3 linked regions of the Kluyveromyces lactis genome follow. The protein of the gene in region 2 purifies or fractionates together with the protein of the main gene of each other region. This does not show direct contact. Links are inferred from orthologs where the notes say so. Each region holds a gene or a part of one and is shown on either strand. Other genes may lie near its edges.

Region 1 (11,730 bases), on a different chromosome or scaffold from region 2:
GCAGAGATGGAGCCTACCCCTTCTTCCTACACAGGCATGTATGTCTCTAGAAGGGGCCATTCCCAGACAGGAGCGGAGTATTCCCTAGATAAATTGGTAAATTTGGAATTTCCTAATACGTTAAATTACACTTTTCTTTCGCTTCAACTGTTTGGGAGAAACTTTTTTAATATTTGAGTATGTATGGGTGTACATTTTTTTGTTTTTCCTTTTATCATCAACACCACTTCGAAACAGTCCCTGAAAATGAACAAACCCTTAAAGTGCCGATAAGTCCATCTATCATTGGGGTAATTCCCCTTCATAGATGATATACATATAATCTGAAAAGGTTGCTTTGCAACTACTAAGTGTTTTGAATATTCGGTAATTACTTCTGTATCGGTAATTGTCATACTGACCCTCGGTGTCACCTTGAAACAAAGACTTTTTTTTTTGAAATTTTATTGATAAAATCGTACTTAATTTAAATAATGAGTTCTTACCTGTGAAATGTAGTATGTAGAGAAACAATGTGTAACATAAGTCTTTAATTGGTTTAAACGATCCGGGGGGGGAAAGAAATAGAGGCAATTGGTATAAAATATGAATCAATCATTCTTTTAAAATTCAATAGATCTGGCCTGTTCCCCGCTTTCCAAACATATAAACAAATCTTGATTATGTGCAGGACCAGTTCAAGTATATGTCCCCACTAAACTTTTTGTGTAATTTGTTGCTTCAGCTTGTGTAATTTATTATTTTGTAATATTTTAGAATAGGTTTGTGTATTTGACATTTGTATTGGAATTTTTAGAATGATATAGTGGTACACTGGTTGTTAATCCTTTTTTTACCAGGATAAGTGGGAATGATATGGAAGGAAGGATTAAAATGCTTAATGGTGACCTTCTTGAGGAACACCGACCATCTTAAGCTTGTATACACAACCGGTTTCCCAACATCTGGCGACTTGACCGTCGGTTGGCTTCAACCACATGACGTTGTGAGAACCAGCTGGGGAACCAGTGGCACCGACATAACGGTAGTCATCGTAGGATTCAACAATGATTGGGTTTTCCATGGTACCGATTCTGGAAGAGTCCAATGGCTTGGTGTCGAAAACTTCGATACCTTCCAATTTACCCAACAATTCCAATCTGGCTAAACCAGTGGCTTGGTCCAATTCGGTTGGAACTTCACCGTCTTTGGCACCAGGACCAATCAAAGTGTCAGCACCGTTAACTTCAGCCAACTTGGTAGCAGTCTTAACAACTTGTTGATCACCTGCAACCTTGGTGGTAGCAAAAGCTCTGGATGCTGGGCCGAACAACTTCGATAGGGATTGACGTAGAGACAACATTATTTCTTCTTTGTGATTGGATTGATAGGTGATAACTTAGATACTCCGATGTGTGAATCTAAAACGATGGAACAAAGGTATATTTGAATTGTAATGAACTAATCAATTAGCAATATATGACAAAAAGAACCACTTGGATACTGTAAGCTAGCTGAGACAGATAAGGTGATCAGTTGAATATATTCGCAAATGAAAGTAATCGGCGAAAGAAAACCCTCTGAAACAAACGTATGACTCTCTTGAACAAACTTGATAAAACGTCTTTAGCTACTTTCTAAAACTCTGAAATCACTGTTGAAAATATTATTCATATATATACATTCGGTTCCAATATCCTGCGAAAATCAAGAAATGAAAATTATCGCTTATAACAAAAAACGTACAAAAATCACATCATGTTTCCCAGTATGATTGGAGCAGGGAGAAGAAGGAAAGATACAAAAAAGGTGTCTACTCGTACATAGTGATGTACACATTTTTTAGCTGGAGTAGTCTTTCGTATTTGTTTCTATTTTGTTTCCGGCGAGAGTAGGATCTAGTGTGGGTGTTGTCAATTGAGTGAGAATTCTGCGATATGGTTGGCTAGAGGTCATGTGATTTATATAGGCAATGCCATGCCATTAATATTAAAGAGATTATTCATTTGATCTGGCGCGCGTCGCGTGACAGGTTATATACATATATGTGTGTACATATATGTGTGTTTCTATTATATGTGTATAATGTCAGATAATGGGGAAAATGGTTCACCTGCCAAATTTCTTCAGTTCGCAGTACCTTAGTGGTGGATATGATACTCCTGCGAAACCCATACCGAGCCACATACCTAAATCTCCGCCATACTCGCCAATCTTTGCGGCAAGTGGCCCCACGTAATACGTTTGACACATTCCAAGTACCACACCAGCAACACCGATGCAGAACGCAGCGGATGCAGCCAATCCTCTTGTGATGACTTCAGAGTTGTCCCATTCATCCCAGTTGTACCTGTGGATGTGCCTTGGTAATTTCCTTAGTTTATGATGTGGTTTCACTTCTATGTCATTGGGGAATTCCAATTTATATAGATGGTGGAACCAGTTTCTAAAGATGACGTTCTCTTCCACGAGTAAGATGAAGTACATGCTAATCCAGTAACCAATCATAGGTAGGAAATTTCCCAAGATGGTGGAAAAACTGTTTCTACCTACTAGCGCACATACGAGGTAAAAGATGGTACATCCGATAGCCCAGATCCAACGAGGCACCTTGGCTAACATCACACTTGATAATTGGATGGAGAATGCTGCAGAGTATGTGTTAACAATATTATTCGAGATTAAAGATAAGATCAATACAACGACCAAAAATTTCCCAAATCCATTCCAACGAGAGAAACCAGCATTCATGAGACCACCCATCCCATATTCATCATATGCAGCTTGCCAAGGTTCGTAGGACAGTGAACATGATGCCAGTAGAAGACCCAATACACCAACGAAAGTGGTTGGTACCGCAGTTCCGAAAAATGTCAATAAGAAGACTTGAATCTGAGGAGTGTCCTCGGGGAACAAGATATAGTAATCTGCTGTGATGGAACCCCAAGTTGATGTGATACTGTAACACAAAGAAAAGAAGGATAACCAGCAACCTTTCACAGTCAGTGAATCAATGTCACTATTACTGAATTCGTACAAGTACTTGAACTTGTCACTTGCTGAGATGTACAACAACAGGAAACTAGTTAGCACGGGCACTGCAAACAGAGTCTCTACTTTTAAAACCTGCTTGATACCAAAAATGGAAACAAGCAACGATACCACAGTAACAATGATAATACCAACCCAAAGTGGAACCTTACCGTCACTAACACTAGCTAGCATTTGTCCTCCAACAACACAGTTCACAATGGACCAGCCCATAACACCGACAATCGCAGCCAAGGCAATAAATTTCACAAACCACCAACCGAACAGATAACGAGCAGTAACTATTTGTCTACAACCAGATTGTGGACCCATTACAGAACAGTAAGCTGCAACCCCACAGCCGATCCACATCGATATCAATCCACTCACAAGACATTGGTTAAACGTAAGTTGGAATACCATTGGACCAAGGAAGTATGACGACATAGAAGAAAGCCCACCAGCTGCACTCAACCACAACCCAGCAACATGCCAAAACTGTTTAGCGGTGCCACGCTCATACGGCTGGATACGCTGGATACCACGCGCTTCAACACCTAACGCATCTAACTTATCAGAAAACTGACGAATGCTCGATGCAGAACGTACAAAGATTGACCTTTCAGTCACCTCTACCTCCGACTTTTTCATAGTTCTTGATTCGTAGCTGTACCTGTTATTCGAACCACAACTATTGTTGAGGTTTATGACAGCATTAAGCAACTCAGTAAACAGCCTTACCAAACAACAGGCTTATGCTTTGATCTAGCAATGACATATCTTGGTTCATCTTTTATATATCATATCTCACTACATGCATTTTGAACGCTTTTCATACTGAAAGTCCAAGTCATCGCGAATGTGATGATAATGAAAAGAAAGAAAAAAAACTAGTGATGGAACGGCATACACACTGAACGAGGATCCAGGAGATAGTGCAACGGTAAGTCCACTTTTTAATCGTCCTTTGTTCTTGAACAGGAAGGTTACAGAACAAAGAGGTCCTCTGGTGCCGCACCAATTGTTCTGCTGTCTGTGAAACTTATGTAAATAGTAGTTAACTCTCACCATCAACGTGAGATTCGGTATGTGTGTAAAAGGTACATATGTCGATGCGTGTGGCGTTCACAAAATATATGCACGATTTATCAATATGAGTCATGTGACCGTTATGATAAATGAATAAAGGATGTACAATATTGACAGTAGTCTGCCGTTCTGTACTAGTTCGTACAGTTAATTCGTACAGATTTCTGGTGGGTCTAAACATGTGCTATATCAGAGTGCTATGGGATGTATAAAAAATAGTGTTCAAGAAAATGGAAGCGCATCAGCAAGGTCCACCTCATTCTGTGAGAGCATGGTCGTTGGTCTTGGATACCATTTTCTAATCAGATATGCGATCGATATTGCTGCTGATTCAGCACCCAAGTTTTCTGCCATAGTCATGAAGTATGCTAGGATTTTGCATCTTGTCAGCCGTAGTGTATTTGAATCCAATAAAATTAGCTTCTCAGCACATAAAATCACGCTACTTTGGAACATCATCAATCTGAAGTCCTTCTGCATTGGTACGATGATGCACCTGGAGGTCAATTCAAATTTTAGTTTCTCTCTTAGGCTTGGGTAGTTGTATATTTCACCAGCTTCTAACTGTTCTGTCAGCATGTTTATTTCCATTATTGTCAAATTACAGTCTGAAAACATCCACTCTAACATTTTCCAAACTCGTTTGCAAGAGTTTAGCACTAGCGAACAGTCTTCAGGTAGTTTAGCGCTTCTTAGTAGATAGGTGACAAATAGTAGTTCCACATGGGTCTGGTGGATGGAATCGTATATAGAATAGACAGAAAGCTTGTGGAACACAACGGATGCCACATCTGAGGTGAATGACGGTATCAGGGAGTAATTGTCGGTATCAACTTTCCCGTACGTGTTTGGATAGAATTGGTATTCTCGAGATGCTTGTAACAATGAGCAGACGTTAAGGAAACTATCGTTGTTATCGTCTTGGCCAGTATCTGCATTAAGACATTTCATCACTTCCTTGATAAGCAATATTCCCTCTTTCGAATACCCAAGAAATGTGTTATAATTATTCCCTGATATGAATCCCATCTGCTTCATGAGATTGTCGCTCATGGATGAATCACTGGATCCAATATCTAACATCTCCTCCATTTCTGCTTCATTGAAAAAATGGTTACCTTTCGCTACACAAGCAACTATAGCAATGGCACAAAACCAGTTACGTGCTAGTGTTACAGTCCTCCTATGCAAAAGTGTGCTCCCAGTGCTTCCAGTCACCATTTCTCTGTTGTCGTTGTATTTCATAAGTAGATCCTTAGCTCCTCGTAGATGGAATTTCCATTCTTGAGTTCCAAACGTTGAACTATCCAATGTCAACAATAGCACACATAAATTCAAAGAGTCTATCTGTGAAAACCCCAATGATTCTTGGGATAGAGATTCGAATTCTTGGTACAATTGCTGTAGTGCTTTTCTCAAGAAATGTTTCCTAATTATATTATCATGCTCTTTCCCGTAAACATTGTAGACATATTTAGCACTGATTGACACCATCGAACTCTGTAAGTAAGACTTTTCTCGGGCGTGTTTTTTATTTGCTCTTATTACGTGCTGGAATAAGATATGGTTACAAATGTTAGAATCCGGTGATTGTGCTAGCGGCATCAACCAGTATGATACATTGTCATAAAATATCTTCAAATATGATAATTCCGATTTTGATACCTCTCCTAACATTCCTTCGATCTCTTCCCATCTGTTGAACACGGGCCCGCCTATGTCATCATTGATAGAACTGATACTTTTCTGTTGGCCTTGGTTTGCGGTCACGGCGTCTGTTTCGGGCAGCTTGGAGAATAAATCATTAGCAAAGAGAAGCGCATCGTTCAATAGCGCATTCAAATCATCTTCGTCATTACCAATCGCATTGGTTGCAGCATGCTCAAAATCCACGTCACGTTCATTGTTCGAGAGTTTTCTAGTATCAGATGATGAATGATGTTCCATGTTTTTCCTATGCAGATCGCCATCTTCCTTATTCTTTCTCTTTTTATCCGAGACTGAGGTCACTTTAGAGTTTACTCGAGATTTATTGGGTCCCCCAGAAACAACAAATTGAAACTCTTTGGTCTTATAAACACATTCAAGAGACAAATGCGTGCACTGCCAACACATAGGCTTCGTCTCATCACATTTAACCTTCTTTCTCTTACATTCAAGGCATCCATTTTTGGAATACTTCCTCTTCTTCTTGGCAGGTTCGGTCACATTAGAGACTGCAGTGTCCGGAGTAGTGTCTGCCATCTCAATAATATATTATATTATACCAACACCAACCACCTGGACGTAATATGCCCTTTTACAGGTCTTATACTCTCCCTTCTTGCCACGCTTTAACTTGCATTGAGTCACATGACATGCGGCATTCTTTATATCATGCACGTCTCTTTTTATTCATTAACACATCTAAACCTCGAAAAAAATTCAGAAGGAATTAAATCTGTGAAAACATTCAGCACTGAAAAGAACTTCGTTATGACATTGCTAAACGTCGTGAAATAATTTCAAGACTGCTGCTAGACGGTTGTGGCTGGTAGTTAAATATGAGTTCATACGTATGTTGTATTTTTGAAAAGGAATTGGTGTGAAATGGCTGTTTAGACTGCTACACAATGATCATACCATATCTATAGTATTATCACCGACAGTTGTTGCTCAATGAATTATCAAAGAACAGATATCCAAGCTGGTAAGGTTTATTGATATTATGCATCTATTGACACTGGGTATGCGATGGTTTAATTCTGCTTGTTTTTTGGCTAAGATTGTGGCAGGTGTCGCTATTATAAGTGCTTTTAGTTTCCAGTATACCTAAGGAAAACTACTGCGCAGGAAACATACTAGTCATTGGCTGTAATACATCTTTGCTGCAAATCTAAAGATTAGTTCATTTCTAGGCTTCTGCTTCAAGCGTTAACATGTGATACTAACTGGTTACTATATGAGTTGCCATTAATTACTTTTTTCTGGCCTTTATTAATATAGTCAAGAGAGAGATCGAGATCTAGATCACCTGTAGCAAGATCAGGAAACGAAGATCCACGCAGAGGCGGTTATCCTGATCGTAGCTATAGGGATGATAGAAGAGGAAACTACAGCGGAGATAACAGAAGATCTGAAGGATATAACAGGGACACTTATTCAAGAGATAGGGACGGAGACAGATATTCGGGTGGAAGATCTGTAAATCGTGGATACCGTTCTGTTGGAAGGGACAATGGGTACGAGAATCAAGGTTATAACAGTGGTAGATATGGCCGTGGTAGATCCTCGAGATATGATCGAGGAGGAGCTGCTACTGCTGCTGCTGCCGCCGCTAAAGGAGACTATGGACCGAAATTAGCGAGAGAGCTCGATTCTCCATATGATGAAAAAGTAAACAGAAACTATGCCAACAGTATCTTCATCGGTAACCTTACATATAATACTACACCAGAGGATTTGAAGGAATATTTTGGTAAGATCGGTGAAGTTCGCAGAGCAGATATTATTACTTCTAGAGGTCATCACAGGGGCATGGGTACTGTGGAATTCAATAACAGTACTGACGTCGATACGGCCATTAGAGATTGTGATGGTGCCTTTTTGAACGGACGTGCCATTTTTGTCAGGCAAGATAATCCACCTCCTGCTGAAATCTCGAGAACTGGAAATAATAACGGCCCACCGCCTCCTCCAAAACGTGCTCACGATGAAGGTTTCGAAGTTTTCGTGGCACAGCTACCATTCTCTGTTAATTGGCAAGAATTAAAAGATATGTTCAAACCGTGCGGTGATGTTTTGCATGCTGATGTTGTCACTGATCGTGACGGTAAGTCAAGAGGTTTTGGTACGGTCTATATGGCTACCAAAGAACAACAAAATGATGCTATTCGTCATTGGACTGGTACAGAGTATAAGGGCCGTGTATTAGATGTTAAAGAAGGTAAAGGAACTTCTACACGTACTGCAGCCACTGGTGCCGATACTTACATCCCTCGTCAACCACGTAATGAACCACCAGCAACTCTTAAACCAAAACCACTAGATATCGATCCTCTGGCTATAACTACGGGTGGTGATAGAAACTCTGTAATCTTCTGCGAAAATATGCCATCTTCTACCACTGAATCTGATTTATATGACCTATTTGGCAGTGTTGCACCGGTTATAATAACGAAATTACTGTTGAATCCTGAAGGTCATTTCACAAGGAACTCATATTGTCAATTTGAAACACCAGAGGACGCAGATATATGTATCAGCAAATTGGACAAATACTCCTATGGAGATCATGAGTTAAAGGTGACTTATGCCAGATTCTAATTCTAACTTCTAAATAATCATGTTTTATATTTTGATATCTAGCGGGCATTACTTGAGGTAATATCACTAATTAATAACCTATTCAAACTTCTACGTTTTCTCCATAGGGACTAAGCGCTGAACTGCAATCGCGTTGGTTTTGTTTCATCATCTTCTGCTAAAACGCCACCTAAGTAGTCATAGGAAGAATCTCTTAGGAAAGAGGGTTCATCATGTTTGCCGTTGTTTTCGTCGGTCAAAGCACCGAAAGCAGCAGCCTTAGGAGCAGCTTTTTTTGAAGCTGGTGGTTGTAAACTCTTGAAAAATGTGTCTGATTTATTACTGATGTCAAACATATCCAATTTGCTTGGAGAAACCCAGATTGGCTCATCGTCGTTTTCAACTGCTGTTGGGTGTACTTTATCGTGAGCTGAAAAAAAGGATTCGTTGGATTTGGTGAAATTGTCGAATTTGTAGAATACAGGCTCTGCTACCTTCCGAGGTAGAACATTTTTATTTTCAAAAACATCGCCAGTATCCATAGTAGACTCTCTAGTGGAAGTGTTATTGGTATTGTCAAATGACATGTGGAAGAAACTGAACTCTAAATCATCTAATAATGGTGCAGGTTCATCTTGGCTATTGGTCGTTTCCGTCGGTAATTTTATGGTTGATTCTGGTGGAACTAAGTGATCCACATTTGTTTCTTCATGGCCGTGTTCACTAGGTTTGGTTTCTTCTGTTTGTGGAGTATAAAAAGGACTTTCCGGTAAATCTTCCTGCGAGTGAAATGTTAGCTCAACAAGTCTTGCATTTTTGCTCATATCTTCCGTGTAGAAACTTGGAGGATCATCGTTCAGGTTCGAGGATCTTGAAGTTCTTTTCATAGTTAACTCATTTCGAGTTATAATTTTGACTGGAGAAGTTTTTATTACATTAAAATTACCAGATAATTTTGAGCTTTTAGTGAGAGTTACTCCAGTATCTAGTGTTCTTTGATCAGATTTAACATCATCCTTGTGGAAAGACAGTTCATCTTGTTCAGGGACTTCTACTGCTGCTGATAGTCGCTTATTGGATCTTAAGTTCTTATCAGTCGGTATATGAATGGCATATTTTTCATTTAATGAAACTTCACTGGATAGTCTTCTCCAATTCACTACTTCATCAGACTCGTCTAAAACCATGCGCATTTCCTTAAATAATTCTGCAAAAGAAGGAGATTTAGTAAAGTTGATTTTTGGTATTTCATATTTGTTGATCTTAGGGAAAATTGGAGATTTCGTATTGTCCTCATCTTTACTGGGATAAGTGGAAGATGCTGGTTGGCCTTCGAGTTGCTCCTTGTCAACTTGGGTTATGGAAGTTGGAGTGGATTCAATAGTAATTACATTACGAGTATTTTGTTCCAAGCTTGTGAAGCTGTTGTTAACATCAGAGCATGGGGTGATTCCGCCTGATAATTCCACACTAGTGTCCTTGACACCATCGTCCTTGGTGCGGTCGTCCTGCTGAACTATGGTATCTGCTCTGTTCTTATCATGTACACTAGACGTAGGGGCAACTATGTCCCCGAATAGATCATCGTTGAAGACCTGGCTTTGCCTTGCTTGTTGATGCTGCGTATAAATAGATTTCGGCTTAGCGTTATTCTTAAGAGCAGAAACATTATTCGCATCCTCACAGCTAGCTTCAGAAGAGTCGACAGTTTTGAAGGAGTTTGAACTGGAAAGGATATAAGGATTGTCCGAGTGGGGACGAGGGTCTGGAGTGATGTTTTTGTTGTGGATAACTGACCCAACACGTTCTCCTTTTTTCTTTGGCACGCTAATAGGCGGTAGATCTTTCGAAATATTTCTCGCCAGTCCAGCATCCTTTTTTGTTACAACCCGTTTCTGGCTTTTCGAAGGTGATTTCCTCTTTCTGAAAACAGAAAACAATTTCGATATGAAACCTCCACGTTTTGACTGTTTGCTTTCTGTTTGAGATTTGTCCTTGTTGCTTTTGAGAAACTTTTTGTTTGCCTTCGATGATTTAGCGTTATTAGAAAGTAAATTGTCCTTAAAGTCGCTCACGCTACTTCTAAATGTGGTAATCGTTCCATAAGATTTGTCCTTTTTATGAACAGGTTGAAAACCGTTCGTCTTGTCGTTAACAACAGGCGTAGTAACTATCGAAGGTGCGTCGTGGATATCGACCAAGTTAAAGTCGTGTCCTATTAATTTCGTTAGTTGTTCGTTGATTCTTAGAAGCTCGTTGTAAAATGGTGCCTTGAAGGAATATGTATATTTGCCATAGTTACTCATCAACTCTTTGGTTAAAACAGTGACAAGTTCATCAAGGGTTACTTCGACATTATCAGACGTCCCTTCCGATGTTAATTTTGTCAGCGAAATTTTACCGGTATCTAGGGTTGCAAAAAAAGCTAGGTCAAGTTCGTGTTCCTCTAATTGCTTTATATTTGGCGGACAATTTAAAAACAAAGTGAATCGTGATTTGATCGTTTCATTTTGATAGGCTTCCAGCTCATGCGCCGTGAAATAGATGTTAAAATTGCAACGGTTTGATTTGAATAAATGGAAGGCAGTCACTTTTTCCAGAATGGTTGCTTTTGTACACAATTCTTCAATGTGAGATGCCTTCATTTTAGAAGAGGCGAGCTTGTATACAAAACTTTCCGGTTGTTTGGGATCCAAGAAAGTAAGGATGATAGAGTTATCCTTTGTAGTGGACGTTAGAATCCTATCAATATAGCAATGCGACACTACTTGTAATTTAGGAATCTTTGATGGCAGTGCAACTTCATTGATTAGGGAGTTCATGAGAACATCAGATATAAGTGGTTTATTATCGGTCTCCGAGTAGTACTTTTCAGCATCGACAATGCTCAATATCACGATATAGTCGCTGAAAATAACCAATAAATCTCTTCTTGAATTATTATCTGCATCAATCACGTCAAAAACACCAACAATTCGCCTCTTCAACCACTTATATTGCAGTTCAAGTGGCCAGCCTTTAGCTAATTCGGTTAAAATCTTTCCGGAGGGAGTAAACACTCTTGTGTTATAGGCACTCATGGTGGAAGAATCTAGTTTACCAAAAGAATCCACAATTTCCATAATATTTGTGTAATTTTTTTGAGCGTCATTTTCAATTTCTGGCGTTGACCACGTCTTGCATTGCCACAATCTCTCCAGTATCAGTTTTATCTTCATTAGCTTTTCTTGAGGACCTCTTATAATGGTTTCGATTTTCATTTCTGTATATGTATTACTATTTGGTATCACTTGCTTGAACTTCTGTAGAAAAAGCTTTATATCCTTTGAAAAGTTCTTAGTTGCTGCC
Region 2 (10,433 bases):
GCGAGCGTATTCATTGTTCAGTAGATCTTTTGGAGTTTCTTTGATAACTAAGGTATCGTAGTCATAGTTTCGAATCTTCTCTTTATTTTGCTCGATGAATGAATATACACCGCTTGTATCAGAAGACTCAGCTTCGTAGCTTTTCAATCCATGAGTGTAATTTCCTGCAACTACAGCTTTCTCCTTACCATCATATATAATGACATTGTCGTACACTATGTCATCTGAGTCTATGTTTAGATCATTACGTCGTTGATGCCTAGAATGTCTTCTTAATCGGGGAAAAAATTTAGGACTAGATTCTTGGTCCCTGGGTGTTGTAGCGGGTTTACTTTCGGGACTCTGAGGTAGTTGCTTGGGCAGTTTGGTCTTAATTACTGGAGAGCTCTTCTCGCTTGGACTTTGTGGGCTTTTCAAAGGTATAATAGGGCCACTTGATGGGAAAAATTCGATGTCTACTATGAATTGGACATCTTTTGCAAGTGAATTCAATTCAACAGACTTCCAAACGACATAATATTCTCTTAGTGCTTTAGGTCTCAATTTGTTGATATTAATAAAATCCTGGTCTAGGACGTCCCTCCGTCGACAACCAAGAAGATCATTCTTCAATCGTGGCCTTCGCCTAAATATAATGAACTCCATATTAGTATCCCAGTCTGCAGCTCTAACATTAAGTTCTAAGTTTCCCCTAATGGAATTGAATCGTATTGCATTTTGACCCAGTTTTAACATGAAGTATGTTCCAACTTCAAGCTGTTTTCCGACAGTTATTTTACTGGGCAGAATTATCAATTTACCATCTTGTCGTATCATTAATCCACTGCAGTGAGGTTCCTAATTCGAATAGTATCAAACATAATACAGCAGAGTCTTCTTTCGAGTATTCTTGTGCGATTACTTTAAAGTTCTTTCTTTATATATTCTTTTCTCATCTTAGGACCCTTTGGTTGAATAATCATGCAAAAAGGCTTAGCATTGACAGAATTCAAGGTGCAACGATTGAAACCATTTTAGATTCCAAGGCTTCGAGAAGATAAGAGGAACATCTAATATGAGTAGTGATAGAAAAACTTTTAACTGTCTATCCTATCAATGATTATGTAGTTCTAATAAGTCATTTATAATGGTGGTGGTCTCCTCCTTGTTGGAGAAACCGAGCCTGATCTTGAAGAAGGCGAAGAAAAAGAATTTGGCAAGTTCGGTAGCCTTGGAGTAGTAGGTTGTCTCACAGGAGATTTTAACGGATATTTTTGTCCGGCTGAATGTCTCACTGAAGATTGGCTGGATAGTCTTGAAGGCGTAGTCGGAAGAGGTGGTAATGGCGGTTCAACAAACGATTTTGTAGGAAGGTGATTCATAGGCGATGGCTCGTCAATGTTCGTTGGTATTCTTGAGCTTGAGCTACTCTCGAGACCGCCACCTACCACTTTCTGTAAGACTTCCAAATCCATCGCAGTGTTGGTGATACTCTCTGTAGATGGTACCGAGGAGCCGTTCTTGAAATAATTCAATTTTTCTTTGATCAGCTTTAACTTGTCCATCAGCCCATCAGTAGATTGGCTTTGTTGCGAATGATAGGTATTTGCTGTAGCATTAGACCCCATCGATGAATCAAAATCTATTCTTTCACTTGAAGCGTGTGATGATCTAGAAGTATCGAGGTTTATAGGTAGATCAGGAAGTGGAGATTTTATATGAGAGCCGTGAACGTATTGGCCTGGGGATGCGGAAGCAACGAACCGCTGCTCACTTGCCGATGTCTGCAGTTCATATTGTGCATGTAACTCCGGTGGATCTGACGGTAGTGGTGGTACTGACCTGGACTGTACACTGGAACTTATTTTTGGAACATTGTCGCGTCTGTCTTCGCTAATGTTATTTGGAACAAAAGTCAATTCAATATACACCTTACCAGCTTCCAAAGGACCCCTCTTCAGATGATACCACCTATCATGGCCTTCTTCAGGGTCACTTAGTAATGCAGGCAAAAGATCAACATCGCACTTCCCAATGAGCTTCGAACCATGTTTGTGATCATGGTCATCGTACAGTTCAACGCAGAGTAGAGGCTTGATATCGGGCGTTAGTTGAAAAACACAATGGTAATCAAATTTTGGAGTTTGGCCGCCTCTGTATATCACTGGAGATATCTCCGTAAGATGAGCTACTCTTAACTTGACGAAAGGATCTTGCTTGTCTAACTTTCTTAGATTTGGAAGGTCCTTCGCTTTACTCACATAAACATCTAATCGACCATTTGCTCCGGTTATCACGTTATTGCTCATTACACTTAATGCCTATATCGATTGAAAGGTGTTAACAGTGCTTATTGACCCATAAAGAAGCTCTATTCAAACTGTAAATATGTAGTTTAGCTTGATTCAATCTTATATTTACATAGGTCTATGTTTTTCAACATTTTTCATATTGACAGTTTTACGTGGTAAGAAGCATCAGAGTCTCAGGGAAAGACCGTACAAAATCGAAGATAATTGGTAGCATATATTATGCTATGCTATTTAACTAAGTGTCGAGTTAAGTATTTTTATTCACCTCGAATATCTCGATCCTCCAGATTGTCTTTTTGGACCAGATGGTAATGGCGATTGGTTATTTGTAGAACGATCGTTCAACTTAGGCTTTTTAACGTTTGAGAATCTGCTTGAACTTTGGTAAGATTCATCAGATTGCCTCTTTCGTGGTTCGGAGGGAGTATTAACGAATTTCTTCCCTTGATTGAATGGTCTGCTAGGAAGCTGTGATGTGTTTGAATTGCTGATACTTCTGTTGCTAGACGAATCTTTTCTTGGGCCAGATGGTAATGTGTTTTGGAATCTGCTAGATGAACCTGAGCTTGCAGGACCAGATGGTCTTGAGGAAGTATCCGGAGGCTTAGACGCGTTGGCTGGTGCTCTTGGCAGAGTTGTTGAGGCTATACCATGTTGATAACGAGAAGAAGCTGCCTTTCTTGGTTCACTAGGTATTGGACGGTTACTGGAAGTGTTGGAGTTCCATCTTTCACCACTGTACTTCGATGAAGGTTTAACAGGTACTACTTCATCTTCATACATACTTCCAGGTGTCTTGGTTTGAGGCAAAGGAGCAGATTTGCATCTTTGAATAAAATTTTCAAAGACAGATCTGTAGTGATCAGGTGGATTACTAGTGACTCGGTGGTAATAGTCCTCGAACAATATCTTCAATTTGTTTCTAAATCCAGAGATGTTGCCTGGAGCTTTTATCAATTTTCTAAAATCACTCTGAGTGTTAGAATCGTATATCAAGGGAATGGCTCTGGTGTACTCAGCATCCTTAATGTACTTCTCGATCTTATAAAAGCCATCCATGACTTGCGATGGAGATGGAGAATTGTTGGATATGGACGACATGGATGGTGCGGTAAGTGAAGATGTTGCAGCACCGTTCTCAGCATCCTGTTGTTTTGCCTTTTCCCTTTCCTTTTCTTTCAATTCTGCTTCTTCCTTTCTACTTTGCTCTGCTTTTGCAGCTTCCTTCATATCTTGGTACCTTTTGATGAGATTCATCTCGTCTTGCAGTTGTTGCTGTTCTTCCGCTGAAACTTCACGGAAATCCGATGTCTTAGAGGCGTTCTTAAGTCTAGCCTTTAAGTGTCCTTTCAAAGCGTTTGATGGCAAAATGATATCCTCCCTTTGCTCGTGTTCAATTAAATGATCCAAAGTGTCTAAAACCAATTCCAAATGTTCATCAACGACAGGGAAGATTTCGCTTATAGCATTTAAAAACTGGATTGTGTTTCTAATGGACATGTAATTGGAATCCTCTAAGGTAAATGATAATTGTTCTGTTAATTGATAGTAGAGGTCATATATTACAGGTTTAATTTTGTCATCATCCAATAATGTAGTATGTCTCCAATTTTCGATTTTGGTAATAATGTCCTTCAAAAACGTAGCGATGTTGCTCGATTCATTTACCGTAGAAGAAAATAGTAAGGTTCCTAAAATGTTTGAGGATGTGAATTGCCCTAAGATATCAATTACTTCTTCGATATTAAATGTTTCAGTAATGAAAGTTGCGCAAAATATGGCATCAAATGGTGAAAAAATGAGTCTAGGAACAACGCAGTGTTGCAAAAATGAGGTAATACGCTCACGGGAGAATTCGGGGAACCATGTCTCCTTGTTCATTTTAATCATGTTCTTTGTCTTTTCAAAAACGCTTGCATGCTGAGATAGATCAAATTTGACTGTCTGTATTGTGCTTAATAAACTATGCCTCTCTTTCAAAACTTTAGCAGCCTTTCTCTTGTCTTCGTAAATGATTTTCTGCTTCGTGTACAAATCTTCTTCTAATCTAATATCATATAAGGATAACCGCCAGAAATCAATGAATAGACGTTTATCAATATTTTCAAAATTGATGCCTTTGAAATCAGTCTCATATAGAATTTCGTTGATTTCATCAGCATCATTTTCAGATCTCGCCAGCTTTGTATCGAAATAATGCCTCCAGATATCAAACGCCCACTCAACAGGAAATTGATATTTCTCAATTAAAACGTTGAAAGGTAGAATATTGGCTTTGAATTGTTCTTCAGTCAAAATGTGCTTTAACATTTCAATAAATGACCAAAGTAATGCATTGGATTCATCGCATTTCGCTGATAAGATTTTATAATGAACGTTATTATCGGTTTGAATCTTAAGATTCAAATTTGTGAGCATGATAATCATTTCTGACACTGCATTAAGCTCTAACAAGTAATTGACAATAGTTTTTGAAGGTTGATAATACTTATCTCTGAAATCCAAGATAAGATTTCTACCGATTTGTTTTAAAAAGGATCCTGAGCTTATCATTAGCAAAGTGTTCCAATTTACATCATACAACGTTTGTATTCCTGCAACTTGGGAGATTAACTCCTTCAAAATAGCCAGGGTAAGCGATGGATCCTTGTAAAGATTTTTGACCAAAAACACGAATATGTTGGACATACTCATTTTAGAACAGCCTTTAGCAAGACCCGCAATGAACAAAGATAATCTGCTAATCCACATTTTGGGAGTAATACCATCATCTTGTAAAGTTGGCCTTTCCGATGTGAGCTTAATTAATAACGTATACTGTAAAACATCGTAAGCGAATTCTGAGAAAAATTCGGCACTTATGACGATTAGTTCAGAGACTTTATCATAATTTTCTATTTGTTTTAGGATAGAGTCTAGAGTTGAAAGAGGATTGCAGGACACGAAGTTAGCAACATCCCTGCACTTAAATGCAATGTTGTCAATACTCAAAGATTTTAAAAGTGACCTTATCCGCTTTTGGTACTTATTAAATTGTAACCTGACATGTATGTTGTCTTCAGCAATCTTTGTACTTAATTCATGGTACATGAAGTATCTTCTTTCGAATGGGAAGTGCTTCATAACCGAATAAATTGCATTTGCAACAAACTGCTCATCTTCGACTAGTCCTAATACTGGTAGCATAAACTTTCTGCAGTAATTAATCCATAAATCCATAACCGTTTCATCTTCTAGGTTATCTAGAATATTTTTTTCAGCTATGGCGCATATATGTTCAACAAGTTTAGCATTAAGAATAATACGTGGACCGATGCTTTCAAATATTAGATGTGAATAATGAACGAGATTCTCTATCGTTTCAATTGGAGTCAAATTCTGTCGCCAGTCTTTATTGTAAAATACAAATTCTGTCCCTTGAATGTATTTGTAGTCTTTCCCCAAAGACCTATATTGCCTGATCAACCGATCTTGTTTAGTAGGAATTCCATTGTGAGATAACTTCAAAAGAGGTCGACAATGTTCTGAAATAGCTGAAGGGCTCAACTTTACAGTCAAGGGTTCGATCATGTTGTCAAACACCTCGAGAAGAGATTTCACGAGACTATCGTTCACGGCAAAGAACCGAGGATATTTGAATAGAGCATACAATCCTGGAACAAAGTGCCCATTGACAAGTAACCTCTCTACTAGTTTCCATTTTGGTGATTTTTCAACAGTTTCTCGAAGTAGTGCTTCTTTTTCCTTCTCCGATATCCCAGTATCTGCCGCTGTATTGGTTTTATCACCTTCCGTATTTTTCGAAATGGTATTGTCTTCGTCAGTAAGGACGGAGGCCATAGCTAACGGATTAAGAGATCCCTCCAAGGATTCCTTTTCCAATGTCGTCAGCTTCCTCTCTACAAACTCATCAATGTCAGTATCGTACGGGGTCAGGCAATCGAATATAGCAGCAAAAGAGACAAACCCGCCTTTAATTAGATGAACCACTAAATCGATGTAATTTGCATCTGGTTTACCATTATTAAGGTAATTTACTATCAACCTGGTAGCTATCGGATTACCACCTTGGTTCAATTGTTCATACCGTGAGCAGTTGGCCAAATTCGAAGATGGCCAGTAGTCTGTAGATTGCAAAAGCTCAAGAATAAACTCAAAATGGTGTACGACATGATATGAAGACACTTGTAATAGTATATCCATGCACCTGATTGGGTCTAGCTTATATTTCCCCATAATATATTTCAACTGTTTACTGTAATATTGAACAGATTGGAATTTGTCAACATCTTCAAAAGCGATATTCAACAACGTTATCAGTTGACTGAAACCAGTAGAGCATTCTAGGAATAAATTTGGTTTTTGCAAAAGGAAGAACTCGGGAACGATGCTCTTTTTGAATGCGGACCAAAAATCTTTGGACCATCTTTCTGTACCCTTTGAAAGAATTTGGTCGTTCAAATAAATACACACCTCTAACTGAAGATCCTTGGCACACCCAACTAAATCATTAAACCCATTGTTCGCCTCCCAAGGGTATGAATTCGCTAACGAAACAAATAGCTCGAAGTTATATCTATCCTCGTTGCATAACGCACTAACTATTTTGCTGATAGCATCCAAATTTAAAAACTCCGATTCATCAGATTTCCCATTGATTAAGGAAAAAGCTTCCAGAAACAAATCATACACATAATCAGATTTCTGAGAACTGGCATCTAAGGAAAGGTACTGTGATATGATTGTTTCTACACCACGACTTGGTTCATCGAAAAACGTCTTGTCAAAATAAGTAACTTGTTCATCATTTGGAAGATTGGAAGCCAAATTATTCAAACAGTCGTACAATGCCATGATGAAAACAATTTACCGTGTGCCTAATTCAATTGGCAAATGCAAATACCCCTATTGCTCTTCCGTCACCAGGACGCTACAATCATGAGGTTGATGTTGCGCAATGTATGTGTTATATCTTTCACAGATTTTTAACATATTCAAATTCGATATTTGAAAAATGTCGGCATGGTGAGAATGGTAACTTGAATAGAGTTGATATCTCAAACAGGGATGAAAAGAGTCACAGCAGTCAGTATACTAGGTATTTGACTAAGTTAATGGTATCAGTGAGAACAATAGGAAGTTATAAACAATGGTATGTACTTTTTTTTTCCAATTTATGTGTAATATCCTATGCTGACCAATGATACTAACTACTGACTTAACTGCAGAGTAACAAAGTGAAAGAGGAACTGATATATGAAGATATGCGGAAGAAACATCCAGGGGTAGGGAGTGCTAGAACAACAAAGGAAGAGTGGTCTAATACGATAAGCAAGGACACATATGCCAGCTTGGCTATTCATCAGAACCTTTTAGAGTATTACACATTGGCGTCAGGATTCCCTTCCAAACGGGATGCCCAACTAACACTGTTACGAAAACTTGCAAACCCGCCAAAACCAATCAAAAGGGATATTGGAAACGATTAATGATTATTATAGATATTACACAAGTGTATTTGCAATATTTTTGTTGTTGGTACATGCGGTATTTAACGTGTATTTTATGTTAGGTGTATCGAAGTTAAAAAGCTATCGAAAACGCTTTCAGAGATTGTAATATATTTAATTAAAGTTCTGGCTGCGAAGAAATCTCTGTTAAGATTCTTCTGCCATCAATTTCGGCCTGGTTGAACCTCTTGTGTAACGTTTCTAAATCCATGTTGGAAGCAAACACCTCAGCGTGGGCTGAACCAGTAGGAAGATCGATAACTTTCAAGTCTGTAACTTTGCAGTTGCCCATCTGTTGTAACACTCTTTGTAAATTAGAAGGGTTCGTTCCTATCGGCAAATTTCGTATCTTTAAACATTTCAAACTCTCTTTCAATGAAATAACCAACTTCTTATTATTACTGTTATCACTATTGTTTCGTTGCTTAGATCTAGCTCTATTCTTCAAATTATGAAGCAAATTGACACGTTTGTTCGATTGAATTTGTTGCTTATTCTTATCTGAGCTGGCTTTCATTTTATTGCCCTGCAAATCAGCAGCTAACACAAGTTTACCACCAAGAAATGTCAATCCAGTCTTTGCTTTGGCCTTTTCTGCCTTTGCTTTCTCTGCCCTTTCCAAAGTCTGCTTCTTCTGTAATACGGGATTTTGGCCACTAGAATTTCCAACACGCCCAAACAACGAGTTAGAACCTTTCCCTACACCTTTTCCTCCCCCATTCCTGGACTTCGAATTACCATTCCGATGCTGCGATGCCATATTTACAATAAAGGACACACAACAGAATTCTCCTTTGCTATCTTAACCAGAAAAAGTAAGACCGTACTAATTTCCTGAATCGTAAGAAAAATGAAACAGAGTACCACAGTCGTATAGTAACCTGATGTTTCCTTTCGTAACATAAGTTAACATCTTAACCTACCATTCCAGAGTTTTTCGTCAACTTTGTTCTCAATGGTCACTTTTACATGTTCATCAGAGACACTTTTAAGGAATCAAGAAAAAACAAAAAAATAATAGAAGAGAAACATTTTAATAGGGGCATTTGCTCTGATTTTGGTGTATGAAAGGCTTCCAATACGGACGGTGAACTGTAATCAGGACGTTTGAGTGGATTGAAGCAAGTTGGAAAATGACTGAAACAAATTTCTCAGTGCAGGGGTACAATTTGGTAAAACTTTTGAAGAGATTGGAGGATGCTACTGCCAGATTGGAGGATGTTACGATTTATCAAGAAGGCTATGTTCAATCCAAGTTTGGCTTAGAGAAAGACGGTAAGGTTGATGGGTTCGCTGATTCTGTTACTGCTTCTTCTGCTGAAAGAATTGCTAGTGCAGGTTCAGGCGCATCAGCAGCTTCTAAAGAAGCCGCAACACCGGTAGCAACAGCACCAAACAGTACTGGTGAATCGAAGGAGGAAGAACCGAAATCAATTCAAGAATTTAAGCATTTCATTGAACAGAACGTTGATCCTTTGGTTAAATTATCCGCTGAAATTGATCCTACTGTTGAAAAAGCTGTGGTGTTTTTAGCCAACGCTTTCAAAGCTCAGTTGGTGTTTTTAAAGGCAGCAGTACAATCAAAGAAGCCAGACTTTTCGTCATCTGCATTCGTGAAAGGTTTGACCCCAATTAACGAGAACATCTTCTCTATTGGTGAGTTGAAAGAGGAGAACCGTAACAGTAAGTATTTCGCTCATTTGAATGCTATCTCTGAGGGATCACCACTGTTCTCATGGATTGCTGGATCTACACCTGTGTCTACTATCACTGATTTCAAGGACGCTGCCCAGTTTTGGACAAATAGAATCTTGAAAGAATTCAGAAGCACTGATCCTAAATCCGTTGAATGGGTCCAACAATTTTTGTCCGTTTTCGATAGCTTGAAGCTGTACGTTAAGGAATACCATACCACAGGTGTGACTTGGAACGACACTACTGGTGAGGATTTCGAAACCGTATACGAAAGAGTTTCCAACGAGGGATCCGGAGCTTCTTCTTCTGGTGCTACTTCCAGTGAGCCGCATAGTTCAGGCGCCGGAGCTCCTCCACCTCCACCTCCACCTCCTCCGGCTTCCGTATTCGAAGTCAATGAACAATCAAAAGAACAAGAATCTGGTGGAATCGGTGCTGTGTTTGCTGAGTTAAACCAAGGTGAAAACATCACTAAATCCTTAAAGAAAGTAGAAAAGTCTCAGCAAACACATAAGAACCCAGAACTTCGTGCCTCAGGGAAGGTTTCTGACAAAGCTGTTCCTCCACCTAAACCAAAGAAACCATCTACTCTGAAGACTAAGAAGCCTCCAAGAAAGGAATTGATCGGTAATAAATGGTTTATTGAAAATTATGAAGATGAAGCCGAACCGTTAGTGATCGAAACTAAAATTGACGAATCTGTTTTCATCGGTAAATGTGTCAACACATTGGTACAAATCAAAGGTAAGGTCAACGCAGTTACTGTCAATGAAACAGAAAAATGCAGTTTAGTGCTAGATTCTTCCATCAGTGGTGTGGATATTATTAAATGTTTGAGATTTGGTATTCAAGTGGAAAACACCCTGCCACAAATCACCATCGACGCGTCTGATAGCGGCTCCATTTATTTGAGTAAAAACTCTTTACAGGCTCAAAT
Region 3 (11,412 bases), on a different chromosome or scaffold from region 2:
CTACTTCCCCATATTAATATTGATACCACCAATACGACTCGTACTATATACTAAACAAAAACAAAAGTATCTCAACATATTACTCTACCTACCCTTCAACATTTATCTGGTTGTACGGTGAAACCCACGAAAGGGCAACACCATTCCCCCTGTTCACATGACCAATCGGAAATATAATTTAATATGCTTTTATCCCAATGGACATATTATCACCGACTGCAAACCCTCATGGGGTTTACCCTGATTTGAAAATATATGCTGGCCAAGAGACATGGTCATGTGCACGTGACCTACGTATACCATTTCGGGTAATCCGCAACAAAGAAAAAAAAAATAGCTCGAGAGCTACCCCACTGTCTAGGCAAGTTTGCGGTCTTTTTGAATTTTCTTTCTAAGATAATTTCTAGCTCACCACCTGCCGTCACTACGTAACTTTTGAGAGGGAAAACGAATTCCATGTTTCTCCTCTAAGAAATCCGGCTCTGTCTCCCCTTTGTTATTATATATAGAGAAACAAGAAACTTCTTTTTTATTGATGGATTTTCAATATATACCATATTCATTATTCTTTCCTTTTAATCACTTCTTTTAAGTCAATTTAGTTGTTGTTTTTGATACTTTGATATAACTTATCTAATTCTTTTAAATAGTTCTTTTCGATATCCTCACACCGCGCACACTAACACACCAGCCAACGACCTAGAAAAGCCCTTTTTGGTTTTTTTAATTCGCAAAAATTCGCTTCTGTTCTGTCTCACACTCAGTATGAAGTTAACTTCCGTTGTTGCTGCTTTCTTTGCCGTTTCTGTTGTTGCTGCTCAGCAAGAGAACAGTGAAACTACCACTACAACCACCAACACTCATAGATACGGTAGATTCGACAAGACTTCTCCTTCTTCTACCCCTACGTCTACTGGTACCCACAGATACGGTAGATTCAACAAGACAGCTCCTTCTTCTTCCCCTACATCTACTGGTACTCATAGATACGGTAGATTCAACAAGACAGCTCCATCTTCTTCCCCTACATCTACTGGTACTCACAGATACGGTAGATTCAACAAGACAGCTCCATCTTCTTCCCCTACATCTACTGGTACTCATAGATACGGTAGATTCAACAAGACAGCTCCTTCTTCTTCCCCTACATCTACCGGTACTCACAGATACGGTAGATTCGATAAGACTAACAACAGGGAAGCTGAAACTGCTAACGATGCTGACTTGGTTAAATTTTCCAGCTCTTTCTTGGTTGCTGGTATCGCTGCCTACTTGTTATAAGTCAACTTCCAATTGTTAACGAAATGCCAAGAAAAAAGATACTCGAAAAGTTGGCCCTCTTCTTTTATTTTCGTTAACTGTCGTTGCTATCAAACTATATCACAAAAACTTAAGGATTTTCTTTCACCTCACTTTTATCAATCTTCGTCAACCCTGTTCGCTTACATCCAACACTGGATGCATAGGAAATGATTTGATTGTTCTTTTTTATTTCGTTTTTTTTTTACTTGGTTGTTTGATTCCATGAATTACCTATATTATTCTACTACCTTACCTATGTCGTTGCTGCGTGTCGTGAATGTGTGTCGTGTGTCGTGTCGCGTGCTAACAAATTTTTTGTTTTGAGTGTAAGTGTATTGTGTTAAATTAACACAGTATATACTACTCAATCTCATCTATCTGTGTCCTAATTTGAAAATTATTCCATTTCATGAATGAAAAAAAATTGACGTTTATGAACCGTACAGCAGTGTGTGTGTTGTGAAAATTCATAATCGTCGATATTTGGAGTATATATATAACAAAAAGGAATGGAGTGCAGTAGGTGAACCGTGTTTCTTTCTTGGCGTTGAATTCTGAATCTTTCCCGCCTGTTCATTCGAGCACTCATTTATTTGTGAGGGACATTTTCAAAATGCTGCTAGAGAGAACATGTCAATAAAACATCAACTGAGCGGTTTTGTCCATTCCTTTTTCTCTCCCTCAAATCATTCCATCCATCTCCAATACCCAGTGAATGTATTTTTGATGCTTACTAAAGGGGGAAATAGAAAAAGGAACTTATGCTAGTTGATTGTATCACAATTCTTTCGCTTCTACTCTCATCAACTTACCCTCATGTATACTTTAGTGTGTGTGTATCATGAGAATGAATGAGGAACGAAAACAAGGAATCCCCGGTGATATATTTATATTACCAACCATCCCAAATATATTATGTATACGTATATACATCTCTTAATATGTGTTGAAAAGTGTGTCAAATTGACCCTGCCCATCTTTTCCTGTCTTTTGATGTTAGAACCTTTGTCGTTTTCTTACACGAGGTTGGTATGTCACGTGACAACTCCGTACATCACGACTATCTGGCAAAGAAATTTCAACCAAAAAAAAAAATTCGAATTTTTTGGATGGCCAAAAAAGAAGGATTTTAATCAAGATGGATATTATATGGGATTGAATAAAAGATTGGTTTGCATTCTACTTCAATTACACTGTTACATATATAAAACAATACGGTGCTCTTGGCTTCCGATATATTTTTCTGTCAAGCAATACAAAGAAACGAATCAGATTTTCATTTACTCAAGGGGAAACGCTATTTGTGATTGTTAGAGATTGATTTTGCGACTGATAATTTCTTCTTTAAATCCAACTTCTCTTTATTTTTGTTTGATTTGGAACCCATTTGCAAAAATATCTACTTGAAAAGACGGGACGATCAATTGTGATTGTGAGTTTGGTAGAAAGGAATTAGTTACAATCTTTTTTTTTACTTCTCTGAATTTTCTTTGGTTCGCGGCTAGCACGAAGGATCAGATAGCAGGTATCCGTTTTATTATTTTATAAGTGAAAGATGGACGGTGACACTTCCAGCAAGTTTGTTCCTGAATACAGGAGGACAAACTTCAAGAATAAGGGTAGATTCTCTGCTGATGAATTACGTCGTCGTAGAGACGTTCAACAAGTCGAGTTGAGAAAAGTCAAGAGGGATGAGGCATTAGCAAAAAGAAGAAATTTCAATGCGCCTGTTGGTAACGATTCTGATGATGAAAATGATGATGATGACGATCAGGACTCCTCTTTCTACAGACAATTACAACAGGAGTTGCCTGCTATGTTGGAACAAATCCATTCTAACGATCTACAACAACAGTTGGCTGTGACGGTCAAGTTTAGACAAGTCTTGTCTAGAGAACACAGACCACCTATCGATTTGGTTATCAGTACTGGCGTAGTGCCAACCTTGGTCCAATTCATGAGCGAAAATCAACCTGAGATGTTGCAATTGGAAGCTGCTTGGGCGTTGACGAACATTGCTTCTGGTACTTCTGAGCAGACTAGAGTCGTCGTAGATGCGGGTGCTGTGCCATTATTCATTCAATTATTATATTCAAACTCGGTTGAAGTGAAGGAACAAGCTATTTGGGCCTTGGGTAACGTTGCTGGTGATTCCACCGATTATAGAGACTACGTTTTGCAATGTGGTGCCATGCAACCAATTCTATATTTGTTCGAATTGAACAAGACTTCCTTGATTAGAACAGCTACGTGGACTTTATCTAACTTGTGTCGTGGTAAGAAACCTCAACCAGATTGGTCTATCGTGTCTCAAGCTTTGCCAACTTTGTCTAAGCTAATCTACTCCATGGATACTGAAACGTTAGTCGATGCTTGTTGGGCTATCTCATATCTTTCCGATGGCCCGGTTAATTCGATCCAAGCGGTAGTAGATGCTAGAATCCCAAAGAGACTTGTAGAACTACTATCCCACCAATCTACGTTAGTGCAAACCCCTGCTCTAAGAGCTGTAGGTAACATTGTCACAGGTAACGATTTGCAAACTCAGATCGTTATCAACTGTGGAGCCTTGGCAGCTCTAAGAAATCTATTGGCTTCTCCAAAGGAATCCATAAGAAAGGAAGCTTGTTGGACCATCTCTAATATAACCGCTGGTAATACGGAACAGATTCAAGCCGTTATTGATGCTAACTTAATTCCACCATTAATCAGATTGTTGGAAACTGCAGAATATAAGACAAAGAAAGAAGCATGTTGGGCCATCTCGAATGCCTCTTCTGGTGGGTTACACAAGCCAGAAATTATCAGATATTTGGTCAGTCAAGGCTGTATAAAACCATTGTGCGATCTATTAGAGATTGCTGATAACAGAATCATAGAGGTTACACTAGATGCTATAGAAAATATTTTGAAGATGGGTGAAATGGATAGAGAAGTCAGAGGTATTGCCGTGAACGAAAATGCTGATTTCATTGAGAAAGCTGGTGGTATGGAAAAGATCTTCAATTTACAGTCTAATGCTAACGAAAAAATTTACGAAAAGGCCTTCAAGATCATTGAAAAGTACTTTAGTGATGAAGATGATGTTGTTGATGAATCTATGGCTCCACAAACAGCTGGTAACACTTTTGGATTTGGATCAAATGTCAACCAGCAATTCAACTTCAATTAAAACCAACTCTAGCTGTGCGTGTGTCATGTAATTACATTTGCTTTTTTTATTCTAGACAATAAATGAATACTACGCGCCTGTTAAATATCATATAATTTTTGCATTAATGTAATCTATCTATAGTATTATTAATCTACACTTCTCCCTTCATTGTGAAACAGAATTCTATGTCATTAAAGGGCCCAAGTCTTATTTGCAGTTTTGAACCACGATAAAAGTAAAAACTGTGCTCAAAAAACAGTATCATGGACCTTCTCTCTGTCATAGAAATTAGGTGACCAGTTAGGTGCATATCACTTTCGGTGTTACCTCTACATGTTCCGATGCATAATATCAACATTTAAAGGTTTGGATTTTTGTAAACCTTTAAAAATACACAATCGAAATTTCCTCGGTGAAACATCGCCTATAATCACACGAAAAGGAAATATCCAATGCATATGTGCTACTTCAAAGCTCGGAGTTGAATATTACGCTGATGCGATAATATGAGTTCAATGCCTGAATTTCTCAATCTGCGGTCTCCCCAGAGAAAGATTAGTGACTCACGAATAAAACGGATCAACAAAATGTTTGACGCGAAGATTAAAGATGAGGTATCAGTTGTTTCGAACAATAGCACAAGTGTTTTGCAAGATATATGCGGGCCTTTAAATATTTCTGAGGAGGAAGATACTGTGAAGTACAAATCATCGAGTAATGTTACTACTCCGGGGTCTGTAAGCTCCAGCGAAACGTTTGATGATGAAGTTAACCCACAGTTTATGCCGAAGCTGCGATCTAAACAAAGCATTGTACAACTGTCCCAGCATAATACCCCAAAGAAGTCAAATACATTTCCAAAACGAAGACAACTGAAAGAGAAGCTTGGTGATCCATTGCCCTTACCTTATCTTGACCCTCAGCAAAAAATGGAAGTTGGTCGTGACCTCGAATCCAGATGGAATACTATAATATCGAACGCAAAGGTACGACAGACTAAAGCAGAGCCTGTGAATAAGGCCAAGAGGGTATTAGAAGCACCGTCTTTTGAAAGTCAAAGAAAAATTTCCCGCAAAGTGTTTCAATCTAGTGAAATAACTACATTGGAATCCCAATTGAAGGACACTAGTGCCAAGCTAGATCGGTTGATCGATATTTTGCAGGACAAAGAAACTTTAATTGGCAAATCAATGACCTATGAACCAGTGATATGGTTAAGTTGTATCATTATTCTCGTACTTTGCAATGTATGGGTGTATCATTACCTATGATAAAGACTGAATTGATATATAAATGCACGTATTTACATGTAAAGTTCATAGATATCATGACCTGGAGTCTATCTAATGTACAAAGAACGGACGCTTAATGCTTAGAGTTTCAAAAATATAAACTGATCATTCATCGAAGTCATCCTTGGGTGGTTTCTTATTCTCGTTTCTCATGTATAAATCAATGGCCGTAGAGAAGGCAGCAAAACCCGCACAACCCACTAATGCTGCCTGAGGTCCACTCTTGTATGCCAAGCCACCGCCTGTCAAACAACCTGCAGCTACACCGTTATATATATCGTTCTTTGCCCTTAACGATTCCACCACACATTCGACACCTGAATAAATCATACCGATGTAACCGAAATTCTTTGCACTGGAGTAGGATCTTTTTCCCATATCACTAAACTGGATCTTTATCTGCTGTTTCAACGGTAGATCTGCAAGCTCTTTCACTTTATTTGGTAAACCTGGAGCATTGGTTGGAGCTGGCGTATGTAGAGGTGTGTCATACGCCATCGATGCCATAAATAAACCGAAAACACCACCTAATGCAAAACCAGTAACACCACTGATGGCAGCTTTTCCAGGACAAGAAGTCATAAACTCCACCATCATTTGGGCACCTTTTTCACCTTGTTCTTCAGGCGAAAGTTGATCAAATGGTTTATTCTCTGGTGGAGAAACTTGGTCTAAACCAAACCCACGATACACCATTTTATTTTAACGTTTCTTACTTCAACAGTAGCTAATCTTCCACAACTATCCAATACTTCACGGTGTCCTTTTACTACTCTGTTCAACGATGTATATATTTATTTCAATATTATTTTCGATGAGCTTTTGATATTAGCTATTCCAAAGCTTTTTTTCTTTCGATAAGAATAAGCTTCAACTCTGTCAATATGTCAATATTGACAGAATGCCTCATCGCATGCACAGAAGGCAGCATTTTAAGCAACTGTATGCGGAATATGAGACCTTTTGATAATGCAAACGATAGCCAGCACATTAGACTGCTACTATGGGACAAATTGTAATTCATTATGGTCTCTCGAAGAAGAATTATCTCGAAAATTTTCAGCATATGCAAAGAATTACGAATTTCCAAAGCTGCATCGTTCGTATTTCCATAGCGTTGAGCGGTATTGTCCTGTGATTTGTTCTCAGCTGACTTGGTCTCATGATGGTACTTCTATTTGCGGCGTTTTTGATGATTTTGGAATACGACAGTATCTTATACCAGAAGATCCACTTGTAGATCATTGGGTTCCTTTCACACGATGGTTTGTGAATGGTTCCATTATTTCCTCTGTCGTCCACCCTAGATACTCACTGTATGAAGAGGATTCAGCATATCAAACTATACTTTGTTCTTCAAGAGATCTGCCCATAAAATTGTACTCATTACGATCGGACAGCATCAATGAAACAAGTTTATACCATTACTCTACTGTTAACGAAGAAAATGAAGCCTTTGAAACGGCTTATTCAATGACAATACTTCAAGACACTATGCATTTCATGACTGGATCTGTTAGAAACAGGATAACTATGTATGATTACAACCGACATAAACCGATATGGCAACATCAGTGGACAAAACAATCATGCGGGAAGTCATCACAGAAGGCTATCGTATCATGCTTTGATGAATATAACGAGGTACATGACAATGTCAGGTTTGCTGGTACTTATAAAACAGAAGTGCTACGAATTGATACTAGAAGTACTAAATCTGAACTAATAAGTGAGCGTGATTCATTGGACTCGTGGTCAAATGGAATCTACCAAGTCATTAAGTCGGATAACGGACATTATTTGTACTGTATTAAACGTAATGCAAGAGAAATCGATGTTATTGATACACGAATGTTAAAATCTAGAATTAATATACTGGAACTTCCATTCAAAATTGGTAAGCAGAAATTCAAGGCATCCTTGAACAGTGCCAAAGGTTTGTTAATTGGATCGTACGATGGTCAGGTTGCATGCTGGGACAAAGATTGCATTGAATTTGGTGGGTTGGACCCACTTCAAACCGCTGGTACTGGAATAAAGCCAACGAATAACATTCTTATTTCAGATGAGAATGTAAGGGTGAATTGCATTGCAACGAATCCTGTTGATCCAAACACCCTCGCTATTTCAACCTCGACTGATAAATTTGCAGATGATGAGGGTATGACATTAAAAACATCTGTGAAGCTTATTCGGATGCATTAAATAGTTGTCTGTAGGTCCTTAACTTTTGATATTGCTTAACCTTCAATAAGAGTAGTTTCTTCTTCTTCAGTTCGTATTCATGCTTTATCTCTGCCTCCTGAAACTGCATGCCAGGTATCACATTGGCCGGTATATCAAGACTACTTTGAGCACTCTCTTGATCATCCATTTCTACATCAGTAGTATGCCTTGTGGTTAAGGAAGAGGTCGAGGAGATTGAATTGGACCTCTCGTGTGTAAAATCTTCATTTCCTATCTCAGTTTCATTAACCACGGTGGATCCGATAGCATTGAATCCTACAGTTGACTTCATCACTTTTTTGGCATGAAACCAATTCTCTACACATTCATGTAGCTCTTTCATTAGTTCCGGTTCGTTAGGATTGTTCTGAATTGCTGGATCTACCTTGAATTTCAATTTTAATTTTGAAATGTTAACATCAAGTGAGTTTTGATATAATTGAATGTTAAGTGGATAATAATCAACATGCTCGTTGTTATCTTTAGACGGCAGTGTCCTAAATGCTCCAATGTCCAAAGTGTTTCCGGATAAAGACTTCTTGGGATCGACCACTATGGCAAGGTACGGGTCTTGGTAATTTTGATTTAAAGACTGTGTTTGGATGTCGATATTGCTCAACCAACAACCATATCCTGGATGAGAGTGGTACCAGCCCACTATCTTATCTTCTTTTGTGACAAATGCGTCTAAATACTGGACCATATATTCATATGATTCCATATGCGCATTAACCCTTGTTTCAGTTCCTTGAACAGGTAAAGAATAGCAATCCTTGACAACTATCATATCATTGCTAGTGTATCCTACTAGCATCCCCATAACTTCAATATCTCCACCATCAACCGCATGAGATAACATCTTTGTAGTAGCAAGTCTTGATATAAGGCATTTCTGAAAGTGACACGGATTTCGTTTCAAATCGGTAGCATACGGGATTCTTGCTGGTAGGTGGTCTATTACAGGAATCGTCGTGCTTGAATCACTAGAACTGGAAAGTGAAGTTTCTGTATTGATGTCTTCGTTAGCTTGAATCCATCGAGTGACTTCTTTCAAGGATTTCTCATGAAATTTTATGGAGCTCATTCCTCATTCCCAGTCTTCTAAGGTGTAGCAGGCAAGCGGCCAGACACTCTTGATGAAAAATGATACTTAGTAAACCACTGTTGTTAATTCTTCCACGAGAAGTTTACTTTCTACTTGCCTTTACAATTCGAAGTAAAATAGAATCTTAAATTTCACAAAATGTTCGTACTAGAAAGAGCGCATAATTGATAAGATTTGTCATTACAGATAGGAATTCATTAAAATAGTAAGTGATTAAGTACACTACCTTACTAAATAAGTATTGCATCTTGCTGTGTTTACATCACATCCGTACACAATATATATACATTTGGAATTTTACTTCCCCCTTTTTCAAATACAAAAGAGTTTCAATGCAAGTTTCTGATCAAACGATTTCCAAATCGCTTGCTTCTCTCTTAAGGTTACCAATGTATTCCAAGAATTTACCCATATTGACATCAGTACCAAACTCATAGACGAAGTGACTGGACAAATAACTGGATAACAAAGCCTTTAAATAGGAGTCTGGAATTTGTTTCAAAATTTGCTCTGGCCCAGCAACGTCGGTTAACAACTTAGGAATGATCTTGTTTAATAGCAAATAGTTTCTCAACTTCAAATCGTTAGACCATAATTCATCTGATTCAATTAAATCATCATTCAATTTGTTGATGGTTTCCGAGATCACATTGGATAAATGAGACATTGGTAAACCAGTAGCTTTGTTTAATTTCCATAATTGACCAAATTCTTGTCTAGCATTGAACTGAATCTTTTCTTGAATTTGTTTCACATAAGATTTATACAGTTCAGTATTAGTCTTACCATCAGTACTGACAAATTTGCCGACGAAATCTTCGTCGTTCAACGATAAAGCAGCCAAAACTTCCATAGATGACGACGTAACACCACCCTTATTAGCAGAGGCATCCTTAATCAAAATAGCACCATGTCTTTCCAATTCCAACTTGGCTGGTTGAGAAATGAATAAGTTCGCACCTTCAACAATGTATGGAATCTTACTCTTATTGTTTTCTTTGTTGATGAAATAGTGCAAGTTGTTCAAATCAATGGAATTTGGTCTACCACCACATGGCACAAATAGGTCAATATGGTTAACAAACTTGAAAACTTCATAATGGAAAGTGTTACGGAAAGTAGTACCATTTGCGACAAGGACACCATTAGGTAGCATGACGTCGATATCATCGACAGAGACAAAGAAACCTTTCTTGGAAAGTTTAGATTTGTCGTAACTTGAAACCATGACTCTTTGCTTGGCCAAGTTAATCAACTCATGTTTGTCTAATCCTTCTGGATCACACAAGACACCAGAACCGTCAACCAACCCCACGTATGCTTCATTCTCAGTGGATAGTAAAATTTCATTGGAACCCAAATCACCATCTGGACCACCGGTTTGGAACTTGTAAGTCTTTTCATTTTGGAAGCCTGCGTGATCTGCTAGAGCATTGACATAAGATCTGACACTTAAAGAGGTCATACCATATTCATCGTGTGGAATACCACCTAAGGAACTGGTCTTACCAGTCAAGAAGGACTTCCACCATGGGCAACCACGTCTCTTAGCGTGCAAAGTAGCCCAATTGGTGAAACCTGCAGTACCTTCGTCAGGACCAAAGAATAAAATTTCTTCTTTGCCATATAAATCCACATAGTTTTCCTTTAATGGATCCTTGATTAAGATGTCGATGACAGAATCCACATATTGAGAGAAGGCGTTGAAAGTATCCTTTGAAGAAGTCAAACCTGGATTCAACAGAATAACACCCTTGGACCCACCTTCTGGAATATCCTTGTTCTTCTTCTGTTGTGTTGAAGCCAAACCGTAATTCTCATCGATAACACTCTTGGAGTTTTTGTCATAAACATCTTGGGATCTTGAAACTACGATTCTAATACCACCACGGGAGATGTCTCTGAATCTGATATGGAAAGCCTTGAACGTGTTGCCGACGACAAAGAAGATACCGTATGGAGTTTCTGGGTATTCACTCTTTGGTAAAATTAAAGCAGGGTCCAACTTGAAAGAAATGGCCACTTTTCTGGTGATGAAGAAATTAGTCTTCAAGATAGACTTGTTGAACAAGTTTAAGGTTCTCAAGATCAATAGGTCTGGAGAATCGTTGGGGAAGACCTTGTTCAAATACAAGTTGAATTCTTCCTCACTTTGGAATGGTTCTAATTGAGATAGACGTTGATATGACAAAGTCATTTGCAATTTTTGGTTACCAGACCCAGTAGCAGAAGTCTTTGTAGGATAATGGACTTGAGCAAACGATTTGTATAACTTTGATACAATTTCCTTGTACTTGTGAAGGACGTGTATGATCATTTGTTGAGTGTAAGTT

Evidence for each region.
Region 1: the proteins of THO2 (region 2) and KLLA0_D05016g purify together in Saccharomyces cerevisiae (affinity purification with mass spectrometry; 4 studies listed by BioGRID). This does not show direct contact. The link is inferred for Kluyveromyces lactis from reciprocal best matches to the Saccharomyces cerevisiae genes THO2 and HRB1.
Region 3: the proteins of THO2 (region 2) and SRP1 purify together in Saccharomyces cerevisiae (affinity purification with mass spectrometry; 3 studies listed by BioGRID). This does not show direct contact. The link is inferred for Kluyveromyces lactis from reciprocal best matches to the Saccharomyces cerevisiae genes THO2 and SRP1.

What each region holds. Positions count from the first base shown.
Region 1 is NC_006040.1:428,265-439,994, reverse strand, and holds KLLA0_D05016g (uncharacterized protein), read left to right. Parts: upstream 1-6,641; coding exon 6,642-6,653; intron 6,654-7,083; coding exon 7,084-8,403; downstream 8,404-11,730. Other genes in the region: COX4 (cytochrome c oxidase subunit IV), read right to left, coding at 878-1,342; TPN1 (Tpn1p), read right to left, coding at 2,089-3,660; KLLA0_D05038g (Zn(II)2Cys6 transcription factor), read right to left, coding at 4,321-6,342; BUD3 (Bud3p), read right to left, coding at 8,514-11,730. UniProt on the Saccharomyces cerevisiae protein: Binds to intron-containing transcripts and is involved in quality control for the export of spliced mRNAs from the nucleus. Binds to pre-mRNAs until splicing is completed or until faulty mRNAs are degraded.
Region 2 is NC_006037.1:996,336-1,006,768, forward strand, and holds THO2 (Tho2p), read right to left. Parts: upstream 7,146-10,433; coding exon 2,553-7,145; downstream 1-2,552. Other genes in the region: KLLA0_A11550g (uncharacterized protein), read right to left, coding at 1-816; INN1 (Inn1p), read right to left, coding at 1,122-2,288; U2 snRNP complex subunit YSF3, read left to right, coding at 7,441-7,443, 7,520-7,780; KLLA0_A11616g (uncharacterized protein), read right to left, coding at 7,920-8,561; SRV2 (adenylate cyclase-binding protein), read left to right, coding at 8,935-10,433. UniProt on the Saccharomyces cerevisiae protein: Component the THO subcomplex of the TREX complex, which operates in coupling transcription elongation to mRNA export. The THO complex is recruited to transcribed genes and moves along the gene with the elongating polymerase during transcription.
Region 3 is NC_006040.1:723,251-734,662, reverse strand, and holds SRP1 (karyopherin alpha), read left to right. Parts: upstream 1-2,857; coding exon 2,858-4,474; downstream 4,475-11,412. Other genes in the region: KLLA0_D08624g (uncharacterized protein), read left to right, coding at 766-1,281; KAR1 (Kar1p), read left to right, coding at 4,963-5,727; translocation channel protein TIM22, read right to left, coding at 5,854-6,444; SWT21 (Swt21p), read left to right, coding at 6,718-7,953; COP9 signalosome catalytic subunit RRI1, read right to left, coding at 7,937-9,058; GDH2 (glutamate dehydrogenase (NAD(+))), read right to left, coding at 9,426-11,412. UniProt on the Saccharomyces cerevisiae protein: Functions in nuclear protein import as an adapter protein for importin beta nuclear receptors. Binds specifically and directly to substrates containing either a simple or bipartite NLS motif. Promotes docking of import substrates to the nuclear envelope.